2 linked regions of the Danio rerio genome follow. The protein of the gene in region 2 interacts with the protein of the main gene of each other region in a biochemical or structural test. Links are inferred from orthologs where the notes say so. Each region holds a gene or a part of one and is shown on either strand. Other genes may lie near its edges.

Region 1 (10,607 bases), on a different chromosome or scaffold from region 2:
TATGAGCACTCTATTGAAAGCTAAAATGATGACTTGGACACCAGCTTGTAGACCAGGCAGTTCTCAAGACCACAAGTGCACATGCAGTGTGCCATTTGGGATAGGGCCATTGCTTCTGAGTTGCTGTGCTGTTCAGTTACCCATCCCAAGTACTAAATACTGACACAACACAACCACATTCAGGAGTACTAAGACAAGCCTACCAATCAGTATCACTGCCGAACGCTGCGCTAAGGAATACTGATCTTTTTCACTGACAAAAGTTGAATATGAGACAGAAAGTGAGATATGAACAAATATATATAGATAGAGAAAGGAAGAGCGCAGATGACAGCAAAAACGGAAGAAAGTCATTCAAAATCAAAGCTAATAAACACAATGAGAACTTACTCTGGCTGAACGAGTAGTCACAGTTCTTACATTGTTAAAATTCACAAGGCCCAGGACAAATTTATATAAGGGTGGACCTAAGGGTCCTGACACACCAAGCTGTGGCCAGATAACTAGCAGTATTGAAAGCTGACTGTGGCCACCCTCAAGTTTGGGGTTAATTTTGACACAATGCAAAAGACTACAGCCAATGGCCAATCAGTGTGAGAGGAAATACATGTCTATATCAGCAGGCATCAATAGTATCCCAAATGGCACTCTAAAATCTTGTGGTAGACCACACGGGTCTGCTTGAAGCTCACCTCAGTGCAAGTGTGACAGAAATGCGCATAGCATGTGCTCAGAGCCCCCTTCTGTAAGCTAAACCGATGGTTAGGACACCCTCCGGTCTTGCGGACTTCACAGACAAGTGCACATGGCGGTCACTAAATGTCTGCAAGCCCACAAGCTCACATGAAGTGTGCCGTTTGGGATTGGGCCAATGTTCAGAGACACTGTGCCATACAGTCACCCATCTGCAGCACTAAATATTGACACAACACATTCACATTCAGGAGTACTAAAAGAAGCCTTTGAATCAGTTCCTCTGCCAAGTGCTGCGCTATGGTATACTGATTTTTCTTTTACTCGCAAAAACTAAACATGAGATGAAAACAAAATCAATACAGATTTCTAACAAAAGGCTACGGACAAAAGAGAAAATGGAGGAATCTCTTCTATTACATAAAAAATAAAGCAAATAAACACAATGAGTAGCTCGAACTAGTAAAATGAGTGGTTAAACTTCTTGTAAGCGCCATTGCTAAAATTTACAAGGCCCAGTACAACTTGATACGGACCTGACACACCAAGTGACACCAGAAAACTAAGGATGGCAAAAGCCAGCAATAGCTTCACCTTGAGTTAGTGTGTGTGAAAACACTACAAAGACTGCAACCAATGGCCTAATAGCAGGTTTGATCTGTGCCTGAGTGAGAGGAAATAACTGTCTATACATCAGCAGGATTCAATAGTCTATGGCTCAATAACAGTTGGCATCCTAAACTCTTGCTGTCCACAATTGTCGCTATTTGAAAGCTAAAAATATGCTAGATGCCAACAGCAGTGTACTGAATGTAGGGGGAAATGGAGGGCATAGGGTCTAGAGGCCCACAACAGTAAAGTCCCATGACTGAAATCTTTAGCAAAGGGTCCCAGAGCCCAAACCTGTGCATATAATCTCCTAGCAATGCCACAGATTGGGTCACGTTGCGGTCTTGTGGACTTTCACTGACAATAGTCTGCATTATAAAGTGCCATTAGTAGTCAAATAGTGCACATAATGTGTGCCATATTTTCAATATAAACAATGTAATGATCACTTTGCTCATTCCAGACTCTTTCTGTCATTACAAATATATCTGTGATTAGGTAAGATGACCTAAATACCTTATAAGAGCCTTCTCTCTGTGCCTTTTTAAATTCTTTGTTCATTTTCATCACTTTGGCTTTTATTAATGACTCCTGAATTAGCTATGACTCCTCTTCAAAACTGAACAGCCAATCAGAGTCTTCTCTCTCACTGATGGCACAGATTGCGCTTCAGCATTCTCAATTGGCCAGAAAGTCCCCTAACAGGTCGGACTAACTCCACTCTAGAAAAACATAACTGACCAATGGATGGCAAGACGTTGACCGGAAACCAAGATTTGGCTTGGTGTGTCAGGGATATTTCCTGTCCCACCCTATACCACGGCCCTGTTTCTTTCTAAGGTGCTATCGCGAGCGAAAAAACTTCAGACTTAAGAAAAACTTGCCTTCTTTTCGATACTACATGATGCACTGCACTTCTTGTTTCCGTGAATAAATAAAGCATGATTACTCGCACACATAGTCGTGATGAGTTTTCCTTCAGGGATACTGCACAGATTCTGCCGCCCTGCTCTTCAATACATTCAAGTCCACAGGGATCGACTTTATCTGCCGAAAGTACAGGTTCGAGAGCTTTCCGAACCTTCAGTTTACTACTACAGAGCAGTGGGTATGAACGAACGGACCCCCCAGGACCACGCCCACCCTTCCCTTGTCCCGCTTGAACTCATCAGCAGTGGTTGCCTCTATAAAACTCCATTTAGTAAGTATTACAGTACACACACACAAATATCAGCAACATTGGCTAGTCCTAGACTCCAGTGAAATGCTACGCAGGTTTGGGGATGCCTGGGGGTCAGTAGTCCGGAGGGGCGAGGGTGGGCGCGGGACGGGACAGGCCGCCGGAGGGACGTCCACTGCCACTGTGATCAACGCCATCTTCTCTGTTGTCCTCAGCTACTCCCAAACTAAAGGAGATGGAGGCATCTCAGAGGGCTGAGCTACTGTTGAGCTGTGGACACAATGAAAGAAAGAGGGGATTGTTAGGTCCTGTGTAAAGGATAAGGAGATGTCTCCATCTAGTGTTGAGAGACTGGAAGCTAGAAGATGAGATCAAAATGTTTAGATTTAACAAAAACATTTGCAACAATTGCTCCCATTTAAGACATACTGTCTTTTACAGGGCTTCACATTAACTTCTTTGATCACCAGCCACTTGGCTAGTATTTTACCAACATTACTAGCCACTTGCCATTTTCACTAGCCACAATTTTGTTGTTGGAAAATATTTATTTTATATGCATAAAATTTGATTTTGGCATGCTAAAATGACTTGATTTAGATGTGTTTTTTCCACATGCCTCCTCATTGATTACACTTATTTTGTGTATTATGTATGACCTTGCTCAATGATCATGAGCAAATGAGTTATGAGTTATTCATAGTGTCGCATTGCAATTAGCTTTTATTTTTCAGGACTCAACACTAAGGATTTACTGTTTTTTTCTCTAGCCACACCAAAAATAAATAAATAAATAAATAAATAAATAAATAAATAAATAAAAATAAAATCAATTATTAGCTTAAAATAACTGTAAGCAAAAGAAAGCAGATGAAAACATACCATGTGAAAAAGGAACCTGCTGCTTACAAAAACATCTTTAAAAAAAATGGAGCTCTTGAAAGCAGCAGGACTGTGGGGCACAAGCATCACTTTTTGTCCAGTCTATTTAAAAGAGAACCAATCGCACCAGTTATGTTTACAGGCACGGATGCTTCATGCAAGGAAGAGTTTTTTTTTTTGAAACCTTTAAACACTTGCGTGTGTCATATCACCTGAAATCAGCCTTGACACTGAAGCCCTCGTCAGTGCGTCAACATCGCCTCATTCGGTATTCACGTATTCACCTGCTTTCTTTTGCTTACACGAACACAGTTATTATTGTGATCTCTCACGCTGGCCCCTCATTGGAAAATCCTTATTGTTGAACTCTGCTTTTTTTTATAACAACTACAATTTAAAAATTATATTAATTAATTATCAACCAGCCTAAGTAGCTAGTGGGAGTGACTGTCTAACCCACCACAGCTGAAATCTAAACACATTTCCTGGTGTTAATGTCAAGCTCTGGTCTTTTATATAAAAAAATTAGGGTTAATTTTGAACAATGACATGTTTCTTTTAACCTAAAGCATGTCCAAACATGATTCTTAAACTCACTGGCTTTGATTTAGCATGTTTGTAAAAGGAAAAGGTATGGCATGAGAGTGAATATCATAAATTCAGTAAAGAATTGCCTGGGGATTTTTTAATTTCAAGTTTAAAATAAAGTATATATGTTTATTCTAGCAAAAAACACATTTTGCATAAACAAATGTAAGCGTTTTGCTTATTTTATGACCATTGTATTTATATAGTAATTGTATACTTAGTAATCATTTTAACAAATAGAAATCTAAAAATAAATAATAATGCATTTAAATAAAAGTAATATGTATTATTTAATACAACGTACACCTGTATAAAACACTCAGTTTTTTAAAATCTTTATAATTTGTAATTATTGCAATTATTTTTGTTAAATGACACATTTTTCTGGTCTTAAAATGAATTTTTGTGATGAAAATAATGTCACAATGCAAAAATTGCTATGAACATATAGATCTAACTTTCATTATGCTCATATTGCTTTCCAGCATGAAACCTGACCTGGAGAAAAGAGCTTTAACCATTAAAGCAGAAGAGACGTTCAGAAGAGGGCAGCCTCACCTGATAAAGCTTTTGAAGGCAGCGGATTGAGGGTTGATACAGAGCGGTACTCGATTCCCTTTCTGCTGCTCCAGGATGAACTGATGAATGATCTCTGTGTGATGGAGAAATAGCAGAGGCTCGATGAGAAACAAACAATAATAACAGCAGAAGTTACATTCAATCGTGGCTAATCATGACTTGGCTCATATTTTAGTTCACAAAAACAAAACTATTTTGTTTATATGTGACTTCAAAGAAACCATCAGGATGGCACGGTGGCTCAGTTAGCACTGTTGCCTCACAGCAAGTAGGCCGCTGGTTCGAGGCCTGGCTGGGCCAATTGGTATTTCTGTGTAGAGTTTGCATGTTCTCCCAGTGTTTGTGTGGGTTTCCTCCGGGTGCTCCGGTTTCCCCCACAGTCCAAAGACATGAATTAAACTAAATCGGCAGTAGTGTATGTGTGTATATGGGTGTTTCCCAGTACTGGGTTGCAGCTGAAAGGGCATCCACATGCGTAATACATATGCTGGAATAGTTGGCAGTTCATTCCATTGTGGTGACCACTGAAATAGAGACTACTGAATGAATGAAATAAATAATGACCCTATAATATATGCTACTGATACTGTATATGATAGTGTACTGTGTGTCCACACTAATATAAACAAACTGGTTACACTCTACAACACATTTCCAGAGCAAATCCTTAATCATAAAAGAAGACAAGGTCTATTTTAGCAGTGAAGCAGGTCAAAGAGTCGATTCTGCAGCATTATGATATCTGTAAGATCTTCTAAAGCGTAAAACTAGCTTGGGCAACGTGGAAACTCCTCATGTGTGGATCCAAGAGGGCTTCCCCTTGCCGTCCAAACACGCCTGCCTTCCCTAAAGCGCTTAAAGTCTCCAGGCGCTGGGCTCCATCCGCACTGACTAATCCTCCAGTGGAAACACACAGGACGGAGGAAGAGGAGGGAGGGTGAAGGGCACAGTTATTTTGAGCCGACAGCACAGTAAGCCTGCTTTTAGTGACAGACTCTCGCTAATACCCGCTGACAGTGGAAGGCAAGCGCCGATCCAGGGGCCCCGAGTGAAGGGTGAAAACAAGGCACAAAAAACACCAGGAGCAGCAGGAGGCTTCTGATTAACACGCAACGGCATGACGGCCACATGCTCTCAAATAGCTCCAATTCAATTAAGACCTTTAGCTCTTGAACACGTTGTCTTCAAAGCGAGGTGAATCGGGACAAAAGGTTAAATTAATAGACTGACTTTGTTTGGCTCACGTGTTGTAGATTGTGTAGTAGTGATGCAGTGGCCAGTTCTGATTTTGTTTTGAAATAAAATAAAATAAATTAGAAAGTTCATTCTGCTGTGGCAACTTTGATTAATAAAGGGACTAAGCCAAAAAAAAAAAAAGAAAATAAATAAATAAAAATAATAATAAAAATAAACAAAACAAAATATATAAATATTTGTTTCTTCAGAGGTTAATTAGGTTAATTAGGTGAGTTAGGGTAATTAGTTAAAATTAGTTAATTAGTAAAAATATAATGCTAAAGGGAGCTATTAATATTGAACTTAAAATGGTTTTTAAAAATTAAAAAAATATTTTATCCTAGCCGAAATAAAACTAAGACTTTCTCCAAAAGAAAAAACATAAGAAATATTGTAAAGAAATTGTTGCTTTGTTATAAATAATTTGTGAAATATTTGGAAAATATAAAAAATAAATAATATTTGGCTAATAATTTTGACCTCAACTGTACAGTATATTACAAGGTATGATAGTACTAGAGAGGTTTAATTCGTCTTATTCGTACCATCAATTTAATGTTGAAAACATCACATAATTAATAAAGAAATTAAAATGAAGGATTTATAGTGAATGAATAGTTTATGTTTGCTAGATTTGTTTAATTTAATGTTTTATTTTTAGTTTAGAGCAACAAAAAAAACCCAATGCGGATTTCTGGCCGGTCTATTGGTGCATCTCTGTTGTGTACTGTAATCCTCATAAATGTGTAAAAGTGAATGAGTTTTTGGTGGCTCACCTTTGACCTGCCGAACTGACGTCAGGTTCTTCTCAAATCCATCGTCAAACTTGGGGTTTGTGACGGGTTCGAAGTCACTGGTGTAAACGCGGCCGGAGGACGTGGTGTAGCAGCATTTGCACATGCAGGTGTGGTATCGCAGACGCCCCTCATCCAGATACGGGTGTGCCAGGGCATCCTTCGCAGAGATTCGCTTCGACTGTTTCGGGGAACACATTAGTTCAGTTTAAATATTACAGTAAAACATATAAACACAATAAAACAAATAAAACAAATATATATTATAAATACTATATATATATATATATATATATATATATATTAGGGGTGTCAAAATTAATTGTTTCTTCGGTGCACCGCGATGCAGACACGGACAATTCGGTATCGATTTAGTAATAACCATAACCGGTTATTATGTACTGACGTCATTTATCTCCTATGCGCTCTGTCGCGAGGAAGGTGAGCGCCGTTATTTACAACACTCAGCAAACTCAGGGCTGGCCCGTGGCATAGGCACCACAGGCAAATGCTTAGGGCGCTGTATATCCAGTGGGGCGCCAGAAATGAGCGCAGTTCAGTTGGTTTTGTTTTCGATTTTCCTGACACACATTCAGTTATAGACGCCAATAACTCAAAAAACGCTTACCCTAAAAATATCTAAAGTGTGTTTCCTACAGAAAGACAAAGCTGGTTATGTTTCACAGCTGTCTTTCTTTTTTTCGCTCGACATTACGAGCACAGCTCCGTTTAAGCCCTTGCAGTCTGCGTTTACTTTAGCCGGCAGAGCTCGCGCTGAGAGGAGCTCTCTGTAAGGGACCATCGGAAAAGTGCTTATTTTTTTCGTTTTTTTCTGTTTTTCTGCTCCGCTCAGCGTAAGCTCTCCCTGTTGCAAGGGCTTAAGTGTGTTTGTTTGTGTGTGTGTGTGTGCGTGTGTGTGTTTGTTTGTTTGATGCTGTCTATGTTTGTGAATGTGTTTGAATGAGAGACAGTGTGTTGCTGTGTGTCTGTGTGTTTATACAGACAGCATGTTATAGCCTCCCCCCTAAAATATAACACTTTATATGGAAATATATATATATATATATATATATATATATATATATATATATATATATATATATATATATATATATATATATATATATTGTAGTAAATTTAATATATGAGAAAAATATTACAATATTGTATTATTTAGTTATATCAGAAATAATGATGTTCATATGTAATAGAATACAAAAAATGCATTACATCTATGTTATATAAATGCTAATTTAAATGGATATAAATGACATAAATATTACATCATGTCTGTGGTAAATCTGGTTTAAATAATAATCAAATATGTCAAACTGAACTAAAAAAGTAATAATTATAAATTAATATTACATTAACTGAAAGATGAACAAATCATTTCATTACTGTTTGCTTTGTTAGAATAAGGCAATATTTGGTCGAGATATGACCGTGACTGAGATATCTGAATATCTGAAACCCGAGGGTTTAAAAAATCTAAATATTGAGAAAATTACCTTTAAACTTGTTCAAGATAAGCTCTTAGCAATGCATAATACTTCTACAAAATTAAGTTTTGACACATTTGCAGTAGGAAATGTGTAAAAATGTCTTCATGCAACACTTTTCTTAATATGCAAATTATTTAAAAAATTTTTTTTATAATTTTGACCCATACAATATATTTGGTTACACTTTTTTTGATTGTCTATTTGAGTATTAGTAGACTGTCAGCTTAATATCTGTTGATACAGCTCCTTCAACAGACTTTTAACTGACTACTGTATAAGAAACTTTGCAAGTACATGTCAACTTACATTAACCCAAACCCCAACCTAACAGTCGACTTTTAATCAAATGAAAATTAGTAGGCATGCAGATGCAATGTAACTTAATGCCGGACCATCACAATAAAGTGTGACCATATATTTTTTCTACTGCCTAAAATATATATCCATGCAACATAAGACCAGAGTCATATATTTTTTAACAGAACGTATATTTAACATGCTTTAATCCAAAAGAAAATATGATAATAGAGTATCAAGAACACTTACTGGGTCGAAGACCAACATCCTGCAGAGGAGGTGAACGGCCTCATGGGTTGCTTGACTGGACAGGGTATATAGGACTGGAAGTGAGGGCTGCAGAAACAGGAAACAGGAAGACAAGTCAGTCTCAGAGTAACTTCTCCTTTTCACCAACAACATACAGTTGAAGTCCGAATTATTAGCCCCCCTAAAGATTTTTTTCCTCCATAAAATAATACAAATAAGACTTTCTGCAGAAGAATAAATATAATAGGTAATACTATGAAAAATTGTTAAATATCATTTGGGAAATATTTGAAAAACAAATTCACAGCAGGGCGAATATGTTTGACTTCCACAGTACATTCACTTTCAGAAACGCAGTGCATAGAATGAACACGAATTAGAATCATGGACAATCCTTATCATTTAATTGTTTTGTAAAAAGCAGGCAAAACATACAAACAAGAGCACATCGAGCTGTCATGTGATCCTCGCTGGCCGTTCAGCCGCTAAAAACATGCAAAACATTCCTCCCAGGAGCACATGATCTTTGCGCCAATAGCTGCACATTATCTGAGGATGTGGGACAGCGGAGACAATGAGCTGGGATATTTTTAACCGTGTCTAATTATCTCTTCCGCCCACCTTCCCCCATCCCAGGCCCCCGGCCGGCTCGCCAAAGAGTTGATTGAAAAAGCCCACCGGTAATTGCTTGTTTTCCCTGGTTAGGTTCTTTGAGCTGAGAGCAGATGTGAACTATGGCTGGTGATTCACCCTGTAAAACGGGATGACGTGTTGTGGGTTCTGACTACAGCTGATGGAGGTGAAGGTGAGAGATGGAGGGAGAGGATGGGAAAGGAGGAATGAATGCTTTCGGTGCCTGGCGGAAGCGAGGTGTGCGATTATCTAGAAGCAATCAGACGTTCATTGAAGAAAGCTTCTGAGTCATATCTACAGTAGGGACCAGAATATCATCCGGATTTGAAAGTGGGCAACATCTCAGCAGGGGTGTGTGGTTCGTAAGTGCTGTGAATGCTCTGCAAATCCATGATATTGGAAAGATTGAGATTGGAGATTTGATAAATATCCTGAAAGTAACATGTCGTTTCAGGTGTAGCATTTGAAAATGTTGGAAATGTGTACTTTAATCACTTATTTGTCATTTATTCGTTCATTTTCCTTCGGCTTAGTCTCTTATTTTTTAGGGGCTGCCACAGTGGAATGAACTGTCAACTATTCCAGCACAGCGGATGCCCTATCAGCTGAAACCCATTGCTGGGAAACACCTATACAGTCTCAAATTTATGCAATCATATGCTACAGTTAATTTAGTCAATTCAATTCACCTATAGCGCATGTTTTAGGACTGTGGGGGAAACCAGAGCACCCTGAGGAAACCCATGTGTACACAGGGTTCCAACTCAAACCAGCAACCTTCTTGCAGTGAGGGGACAGTGCTAACCACTGTGCCCTGCTCATACCATGTGCTCTTATTTATTTGTCAAACAAGGGTAATTTTCAAGTCTCTGCCAGTTATGGAGGGATCCACAGCATTATTGCTGTAACTCTTTATGGTAGTAATGTGTTCTTATTGGCATGTGAAAAGCTTGCTGGTAGATCATAATGTATTTGATGCAAAACTTACTTAATTATATTTTAAACTAAATCTGTATTGTTTCATTCAAATTTCTTAAGTTAACTGAAAATGTACAGTTAAAGTCTAAATTATTAGCCCCTCCAACATCCCCCCCACCCCCACCGCCCAGATTTTTTTTTCTTTTATAAATATTTCCCAAATGATGTTTAACAGAGCAAGGACATTTTCACAGTACGTCTGATAATACTTTTTCTTCCGGAGAAAGTATTTGTTTTATTTTGGCTAGAATAAAAGCAGTTATACTTTTTTTAAACACCATTTTAAGGTCAAAAGTATTAGCCCCTTTAAGCTATTTATTTTTATTTTAAGCTATTTATTTTTTTTATTTTTTGATAGTCTACAGAACAAACCATCGTTCTACA
Region 2 (9,667 bases):
ATTGCTATTTTCTAACTTATACCTATATCCTGCCCTTGCTGCTATTGCACTCCTGGTTAGACCTGAACTGCATTTCATTGCCTTGTACTTGTACATGTGTAATGACAATAAAGTATAATCAAAATTACATATGCATATGTATAAATACAAATATGCATGCAAATTTTTGAGAAAATGTTTATTTACATGTAGATATAATATACTGTGGGGAAAACTGGAGCACCTTGAGGAAAACCACGCGAACAAGGGGAAAACATGAAACTCCACACAGAAATGCCAACTGACCCAGCCAAGGCTCGAACCAGCAACCTTCTTGCTGTGAGGCGACAGCACTACCTGGTGCTGACGCCTCACAGCAAGAAGGTCGCTGGTTCGAGCCTCGGGTGGGTCAGTTGGCCTTTCTGGAGGTGGAGTTTCCATGTTCTCCCTGCGTTCGTGTGGGTTTCCTCCGGGTGCTACGTTTTCCCCCACAGTCCAAAGACATGCGGTAGAGGTGAATTGGGTAGGCTAAATTGTCTATATAAGTGTATGAGTGTATGGATGTTTCCCAGAAATGGGTTGCGGCTGGAAGGGCATTCGCTGCGTAAAACATATGCTGGATAAGTTGGCAGTTCATTCTGCTGTGCCGACCCCTGAATAATAAAGGGACTAAGCCGAAAAAAAAGAATGAATAAATATCTATGTTACTCAATTGTTTTGTATAGTTTTGTTTCTATGCGTGTGTGCCTATCACATATACATAATAAATATACAATATATAAAACACCTATATTATGTCAAAAAACTTTTATTTTGACCCTAAATTAATATAAAACAAAGATTAATGGGAGCACAACTATGTATATAATGGGGTTTTGGATTTTGTTATAATTTTATTAATACTTTTATTCTAACTTACATTTTATAACAAATAAGTGATTAAAATATTATTTATTTTATTTTAGATGTACAATAGGTTACTGATATTTACATAAAGATTAACATAAACTCAAAATGGATTTGGATACTAAGTTCCTTGCAAGTATGATGTTTTTATGCAAAGTTCTTGAGACATTTAAGTTTGTCTTTTCGACTATATTTCAATAAGTAGTTTAATTTTGGTCTTATGAACATCTGTGAAAGTAAATAGATTTTAGGAGATGCAAAGTGGAAAAGAAACCATTAATCCAGAGATATTTTTTCTCAAAAACACACTTTATTTACAAGGCAGTTTGTATAAAAAACGTATGAAAAGTTCAAAATCAGTGTATAAAAAGTGTTTGTACTTGAAGCTAATACAAAAAGGCAGCGAATAACAAAAAGTTATTCCTCAATGCTTTTGATTGGATCTTAGTATCAAAAAAGGCTGATTGTAATATCAAAAAACAAGCCAACTACGTATAAAAGCAACAATCATTTCAGTGTTTAAAAACTAGAAATACCAAGGTAAATTTGATTACAAATCGTCATACAAAAAAGTGTTTATGAAAACATAAAGAAATGTTGTATATCATCTCGAAGGCAACTTTGGACCTTGATTTGAAAATGTTCGGTAAACCTTTGAAGCAAATACAAAAACAAACAAACACTTTGTTCTGTTGAAATTCCTGCAAGAGTTGATCTAAAACCTGAAATAGTGCTAATACAAAAATGAACGTTGTGGTTTCCATCTTGAAGCTTTTGAAATGGCAACACTACTAAACTGGCAGAGTACACTAGATATATGACTTCAAATTTTGAGTTGAATTCACAAACTGGCCTAATTTTGTAGGCATCGGGCACAGTTTGTTTTAGCCAGAAATACACAGCAGTGCTATAAGTCTGAAATACATACAAGGGCAGTTTTGTTGGTCACCCAGAACAACTCTTTGTCTGGTTTTGGGTGTAAGACTCGGATAATGCTAGGAGGACATGCGCTCCTTACAATTAACACACATTTAGCGAATAAAAAAGTGAGCAATACTGGGGGCAAACACTGGCAAAGGCGCCCGTCATAGTTAGTTAATTATTATTCTTAATACAAAATAATAATAAATTACTGCAAATTGTTCCTTATATTAAAATCCATAAAATTAGAACCCACATAAACAATTATTTCCCATGTATAATACAACATATATAATACAATATTATTAAATTCCAATCAGAAATGTAGAAATAACAAAACAAAACATATATATATATATATGTATATAAAAAACACAATGTCTTTGGTTCCTTGAATGATGGCACAGCTTAAACATTGGCGACCAAACATCGACTGTGCAGTCTACAAACAAAAATGGCTTACAGCCTCTCCCAAATAATGTACCACGAGTGTAGGGACTGTTCCTCTTTTTACTTCTTTTCAGAATGATTGTCTTCTTTCACTCTCCCTCCTCCTTCCCTTTCTATTTTTGTCTCATTATGTCTCTCGTTCATATGACCAGAGCTCGCGAAGAATAATTGCTGAGGTATTTGTGCGTGGCTTCAGAGGGAATCGTCTGCTCTTCCGTCTTCCCACAAAGCACCTGTTCCCATGTGTTCAACTGCTGTGATGGACGAAAGAAGAGAGAGAGAGGGGAAGTGAGGATGGAGAGAAGTACATCAAACTCAGAGATGAAGGTGATTGGTCAGGTTTTGCATAGCCTACGCTTGTGTGTCTAATAAATCATTACTTTTACAAGTTTATGGTGCAATTCAGCACCTGGAGTCATAAAGCCAAATATGTGCTACTACCAAATGCTACTATATAGTTGTACATACAAACTACGCAAGTAACATTAATACATTAAAGACACTAAAAATATGCATTTTCAAGTATTAGCTACTTTTCACAACAGCCCCAAACAAACTGTTTTTGTTATGAAACCGTATTTTAGAATGAAAACACTCCTCATTTAGGCAAAACAAACTCCATCACTCCATTATACGGTGTAAAATGTATGATATCTGACTATTCGCACTTTCTGGGCATACACATATTTTGCCCGCATTCATACTTGAAGTCTACTGGTTGTGTAAAAATCATATGGTAGTGGCTTGACGAATCGGCGAAGGATATGCAATAGTTTAGATGACCAATCAGACAGTGATCGTAGATAGCCATGCCTCCATTTAAGAAAATCTCTATTTCAAGCTATACTAAAACAAACATAAAAAGCATTTCCAAACTAAAACTGGGTCTTTAGTGTTTTTAAAATGCTCCATTTTTACAAATTGAACATGTCCGAGTAGTCCAGATGCTAGCCGCAATCATGACTAAACTAAATGCACTAGTGTTAACAGAACAAAATAATAACAAAAAACAAAATACGTTGTGTAGAATTGTTATAAAAGTACCTCCACTGACACATTTACATAATGAGCATTATAGTAAAAGTATTTTTTTTTTAAAAAGGGTAAATATTAGTGATGGTGTTTAGGATTATAAAGAAAATGGTACCCAAATATTTTCTTGATTATTATATTTTAGTTTATTTCATTTTACAAAAGCCAGTAGCAGGCATGTTTATCCTTGTAGATTAGATTAGAGTGAAACAGGTAGAAATTCTTTAATGTATTGCCTATGAGTTTAAAAGAGATTCAATTTGAGAGTGTTTTTAGAAGAGCAATTAAAAAAAATGAAGGTTAAAGTTAATATAATGTTAATATTTGCATTTATAATTCGCTTGTTCAGTTTTTAAGATCATCGAGGACCACAATGGAAATAAGTCTGTGGCTTTTTTTGTGTATTTTATCCTTGACAGTTTTTAAAATATGTATGAATTATTCTAACTGGACTTGTTGGTATATTTTTGTTCAAACTGTCAAATAAAATCAATCAATCAATAATAAATGTTCTAATAATAAATGTTCAGTATAATGTTGAAACAGCTATTCTGTACTGCTATGTCAATGCAAAGAAAAGTTTACTTTCACATAGCCAGATCTGTAGAGTGCAATAGCTTTATATCCATAAGGGTGCATGGCTGAGCTTGTGGAAACATATCCATGTTGCTATGATCAGATCCCGCTTTTTTAAATTTATTTGTTTTGTGGCCTTTAATTTAATGTTAAGAGGAAAGGCGTGCAGCATCCATTAATCTAAAAGTGCAACATACATTCATGGAAACATCACTCTAAGTTTGTACATTTTGCAAATGTAATCCCAATTTTTGTCAGTACGTTGCTTGTACACTAGTGTAAGCATGGGCAACAGGTTGTTGGATGCAATTCACTTAATGACCACCGGTGTCGCTAGTATTCTACATATAGCTCAAATCATTGCATTAAAAATTTCAATGCGATACTTTCTGATAGCCAAACGTAACAGGGGTGTGTGCATTATTTACTAACACTGGTGTTTACTCTTGGAACCAAAATATAATTCTGAATGAAACATTTTAAACCAGGCAATCAGAATGTGTATCGGTAGCATACTGGTTATGTGCTAAGGCTTTATATTAGAGTATATGCAGGAATCCTAAAGGTAATTTCAGTACCTTTTTAAGACTTTTTAAAGACCTACTCATAATATTTTAAGACCTCATCGCCACTTCAAGTTTTAATCAGTATAAAACCTTTAACTTAATAAACAGCTCTTAATAAACAGTTGTAGTTAAATAAATCAATGGATCACAACCATGCCACAGAACTCGGAAGAAACAAAGCTTGTTTTCAGCGACAGGCTTTAGCCACTGTTTAAACTCGTCTTTCTTCAACCAGGAGAATGCAAACTTACATTTTCACATTTTTCTGTCTGTTTCGGTTTATGGTTTTGTTACATGCAGAGAGCGTCACATCCCCTTCCCACGTTTGTCGCAAATTACGCGACATCACTCGGATGGAGGAGCTTGGCCCAAACCAATTGCATGGATTGAGGATGTTATTGTTAATATTAGGAGGAAAATAAATATATTTATGCTTTTTTGGAGTCAAACACTTTGGACAATGCTTAAACAAAATTTAAGACCTCGTAAAAACTCGATTAAGACTTTGTAATACTTTTTAACAGCCTTAATTTTTTCATGACTGATTTATCAACTTTTAATACTTTTAAAGATCCCGTGGACACCCTGGATATCGAAACTTTAGTTGTAAACAATAATTTCCCCTATTTTTTAATTCAGATGACCTCATCCAGCACCCATCTAACTTGAAAGGCCAAATTAGCTGTAATGTTTAATACAATACATCCTTATGCGATGTCTGATTTTTTAAATACTTTTTAAAAGCATTTAAAAAAAAAAGCTCCTATTTTTTTTTTGTATTTGTATTTTGTTGTATTAGAAAGGTAATCGAAATGTACTTATTAAACCACAATAAACTGAGCTAAACTGAACTGAACTTAATCTTTAAAAACTGAACTACACTATTTCATTTTACTATGATCTTTTATGTGAAGCTGCTTTGACACAATCTACATTGTAAAAGCGCTATACAAATAAAGCTGAATTGAAATGAATTTACTAAAACATAAGTTCTGAAAACTTTTCACATAGCTACACAGGAGTGAATATGTAAATATTATACCTGCAAAGGACTTCCTATGGGTCTGCGGGGCAACTGGGCAGCTTTGTGTCCGTCCTCAGTCTTCTCTGTGTTGGGAAGCATCAGCACAGAGCTAGTCAGCAGATCCTATAAAAACACAACCGTCAAACATCAAAATAATGCTGACAACTGTAGCATTCGTCGTATAAAAGCGTAACGAAGATACTCACAGGCATGTCGTGGGCGGGGCCATTAGAAGGGAACAGCTGAGTGTGGAGATCTTGCCCCTCCCACTGAAGACACACTGACTCCACCTACAAATCCAAAAGATTGACAATTATTACAACAGATCTTTGACTATACCGGGCATAATTTACAGTACTTTTACAATCTCACAATTCACAGCCTCACTCTGATGGAGTTTGACTGCATGCTGATATTACTGACAAATTCAAATCGCAACGTACAGACAAGGCGTTTTTACATTTGTGCTATTTGAATATCAAATTCAAATGAAGGGGCCTGCATTCAGCTGAACTCACCTCCTGTTTGATCTTTTTCAGAGGGGGCTGGTCTAGATGCACCCCTCCAACACTGATCTCACACTCCTGGGGCTCTTGTTTAATCGTGCCGACCACTCCAGAGTCCAGCGAAGGACTGTGGACCTGCAACCAGAATACAGACTTGAATAAAACATGTCAATGTAGTTAAGCATAATGTGGCATAAGCAAAATGGTTTCTGTTATTAGAGGGTTCATTTGTTGTATGATATTGGATATTTCATTTCACCTAGTATAACATTTAGATTACCTCATCTAGTGATTGCTTTTGGAAATCCCAAAGTTATTAATAATATTTTATAGTGTTCTACAGTTTCATATTGTATATCCTGTTGAAATGTCTGCTTGTTTAGTCATTGTTGGTGTTTTCTGCAAGTACATTGCCTTTATTGTATAGATTTGTATAGATTTTGTTATCATATATATATATATATATATATATATATATATATATATATATATATATATATATATATATATATATATATATATACACACACACACGTATTTTATTTTTATTTTTATTTTTTTTATATTTAAATGACAATGATAATAATATATCAAATAATTTTAAATCATGTTCTTTGAAAATAATTTAATAACATTTGAATAATATTTAAGACAGTTTTTTTATGCAAACAGTCCCGGGATATTTGATTCGTGTTACATATTTGTGTTATTTAAACTGTATTTTAAATTATTCAGATGGAAATACACTGGTAATATTTTACCACGACATTTTCCATTATTTCTATGGAGTTTTCTTTACAATGTAAATTCATTTAGATTTTTTATGTATATTTTTCCTCTGGGTGCTTCGGTTTCCCCCACAGTCCAAAGACGTGGTATAGGTGAATTGAATAAGTTAAACTGGCTGTAGTGTATGTGTGTGAATGCAAAAGTGTATGGGTGTTTCTCTGTGTCGGTTTGCGGCTGGAAGGGCATCCGCTATGTAAAGCATATGCTAGATAAGTTGGTGGTTCATTCTGCTGTGGCGACCCCTGGTAATAACGGAACTAATAATAGTAACGACAATAATCTTGCAAGTTAGTTTATTTCATGCTATTTATAATAATAATTTATTCAATTTTAATGGTTATATTTAAAATATAGATATTTTATGTAATTGTTATGTAAAAATTTATTTTATCCTATTGTAAAATTATGTGTATATACTGTGTATTTATTTGTGTTCTCAAAAAAAAAAAAAAAAAAGTCTTACCCTCTTCAGTGGTCCGTATTTGCTGTCCTGCATTGTCAGTGTGGATTTGAATGGAGTGGGTGTGCGAGGAGAACACTCCATGATCGAACGCCTCAGGTTGGGAGTTCGGAACCTAAAAATGGCCATATATACATTATCACTTAACCACTGTCTCATTACCATCATCTTTAACAGAGGGGTCTAAAGGGCCAGTTTCCTGCATAGTTTAACTCCAACTTTCTTCAACACACCTGCCTGGAATTTTCTAGTATACCTAGAAAGAACTTGATAGGCTGGTTCAGATGTGTTTAAATGAGGTTGGAACTAAAATATGCAAGACACCGGCCCCCCAGGACTGAGTTTGAACACCCCTGATCTATAACCTCAGTAATTCCATCTCTATAGGAGATCCTAATTATAAATGATATCAAAAAGGGCACTTACAGCTCATTTTCCTTCTGAGGTCGAAGAGCAAGGTCTTGCTGCAGTGCTTTCTGGGAGCAGACCGGCGATGGCGTGACTGGTATATTTTGACTGTCTGAATCGGGACTCACTGAAGCATTAAAGAACTGCAAACAGAAGAAAGGAAGAAAACAATCAGATATTAAACTGTAAACCACATAATTAACATTCAGAGGTGTAGGAGGACCTGCAAATGAGGTCAGAATCAGCATAAATTCACACATAAGTGTCAGTAAACAGTTTTGATACTATTAGACTAGGTTAAAAGCAAGTTAAGCTATTGTATGATTAGAGCATACCAGCATGTAATGAAGAACATTATAACTAAGTGCAACAATAACAGCTATAAGAGGAAATGAAAAGTGTAATCGCATGCTGAGAATCATACACCAATCACCCAGTGCTCATTAGACATTCATTTCATTTAAGAAAGCAACACAGCGGTCCTTCGTGCAAGATATAGTATATCTTAGTAGTATATAGAGTATATTAGTATCTAATATTCAAGTCAAACACTATCTTTAGTGTTTGACTGATGTACTGAAAACAACAGAGCAAAATCAATACAGTCATACCAAAGAGATAAAAGTGTTAAAGCATCATAAAAGTGTAGCACTAATAGCTGAGGTGATACATTTAATATGTTAAAAGCGTTCATGTTGGCTATAAATGCGATTTAGTATGTCAACGCAACCTTTTGATGAATCCTACGCATGTTGACTAATGCACACTGATTCGTATTAGAGTGAACAGATTAATTCAGAGTCATTTGGGTGACTCAATGCGGTTTTCAGACTACCTGAGTGGGAGAAAAAGGCAGGTGTCTGACGGATGAATATTTGGGCGTTGAGCAAAGAAAAGTGGGGGCACTTCTGTTGCCGTTGTTTGCAGGCGAACCCTGACCGGTTTGGCACTCCGTTTTAGGGTGTTTGTTGGCCCAGACTGATGGGGCCTATGAAAATGAAGGAGGATACTTCACCCAAAGAGATAGTTCACCAAAAATGGATAAATGCTCAGTGTTTACACGCCTTTCGTGTGGTTTCAAAACACTTAGGAGTTTCTTTCTTCTGCTGAACACTAAAGAAGATGAGCTGAAAACCTGTAACCATTGAGTAGTATGTTGGAAATCAAATACTATGGAAGTCAAAGGTTACAAGTTTTCAACTTTCTTCAAAATACCTTCTCTTTTGTTTAATAGGAGAAAGAAACTCAAGTGAAAGGTGAGTAAATGATGACAGAATTTTTAGTTTTTGAGTGAACTATCCCTTTAACGCTAGATGCTAGCTGATGAATACATGGTCACTGTTCATTTTAGATGAACTTACCGAATCAATAGCATCGATAAACTCTGGTAAAGTGGAGCTGGAGTCGTTATTTGGGCTGTTTGTGTTGCCATGTGCGCTTTCTTCAGGAAGGCATCCTTGCTCTAGGGATGGAGCCGGGACTGAAACAACAATGCCAACCGAACTGTCCGCCAAAGAGCCTCTGTTCCAGCCACCGTAGCCGTTCATGGAGATCTGGGTGGGGGAACAAAAAAAGAGCAAAATTAAGCGAAAGAAAGAGAGGAATGCATGCAGGAAAAGCGGTCAGAGAGAAAGGGAACTTGTCGAGTTGAATGATGTGAAGGGTTGGGAGGGGGTTCTCAGTTGCACAAGGAGTTAAACAGAGCTTGTGGTGTGATAAGGTGCAATTGCATCATTTAGCCAAGCAGTTGAAGCATGTGAAATAGACCCCCAGATGCTTCCTCCAATTAAACACACACACACACGCACAGAGAGACACACTTACTGGTAGTGCCTGTTGTCCCTTCAGCTCGTTTTCTGTTGACATCAACAGCATCTCGATTTCTTTCACCCTCTTTTCTTTTTCGGGGTCCTCGTCGCTGTAGTGTCTCTATGTGAGATGAGAGCAAAGTAAATTCAGTGTTTGTTTATTAAGCTCAAATTGTGATTATAAATGGGAAAAATGACATGAAAGCGTGTATTTTTTGAGGGATTCACATAAAAAATATCTG

What was found.
Region 1: of the proteins of myb (region 2) and nlk2, one has a biochemical effect on the other in vitro, tested with the Homo sapiens proteins (2 studies listed by BioGRID, with this or other methods). The link is inferred for Danio rerio from reciprocal best matches to the Homo sapiens genes MYB and NLK.

What each region holds. Positions count from the first base shown.
Region 1 is NC_133190.1:32,887,330-32,897,936, reverse strand, and holds the end of nlk2 (serine/threonine-protein kinase NLK), read right to left. Parts: intron 8,700-10,607; coding exon 8,613-8,699; intron 6,743-8,612; coding exon 6,544-6,742; intron 4,605-6,543; coding exon 4,511-4,604; intron 2,753-4,510; coding exon 2,698-2,752; 3' UTR 1,869-2,697; downstream 1-1,868. UniProt on the Homo sapiens protein: Serine/threonine-protein kinase that regulates a number of transcription factors with key roles in cell fate determination. Positive effector of the non-canonical Wnt signaling pathway, acting downstream of WNT5A, MAP3K7/TAK1 and HIPK2.
Region 2 is NC_133198.1:34,764,157-34,773,823, reverse strand, and holds the end of myb (transcriptional activator Myb), read right to left. Parts: intron 9,547-9,667; coding exon 9,442-9,546; intron 9,171-9,441; coding exon 8,979-9,170; intron 8,606-8,978; coding exon 8,453-8,605; intron 7,761-8,452; coding exon 7,636-7,760; intron 7,325-7,635; coding exon 7,213-7,324; intron 6,096-7,212; coding exon 5,973-6,095; intron 5,745-5,972; coding exon 5,661-5,744; intron 5,578-5,660; coding exon 5,473-5,577; intron 2,511-5,472; coding exon 2,397-2,510; 3' UTR 1,176-2,396; downstream 1-1,175. UniProt on the Homo sapiens protein: Transcriptional activator; DNA-binding protein that specifically recognize the sequence 5'-YAAC[GT]G-3'. Plays an important role in the control of proliferation and differentiation of hematopoietic progenitor cells.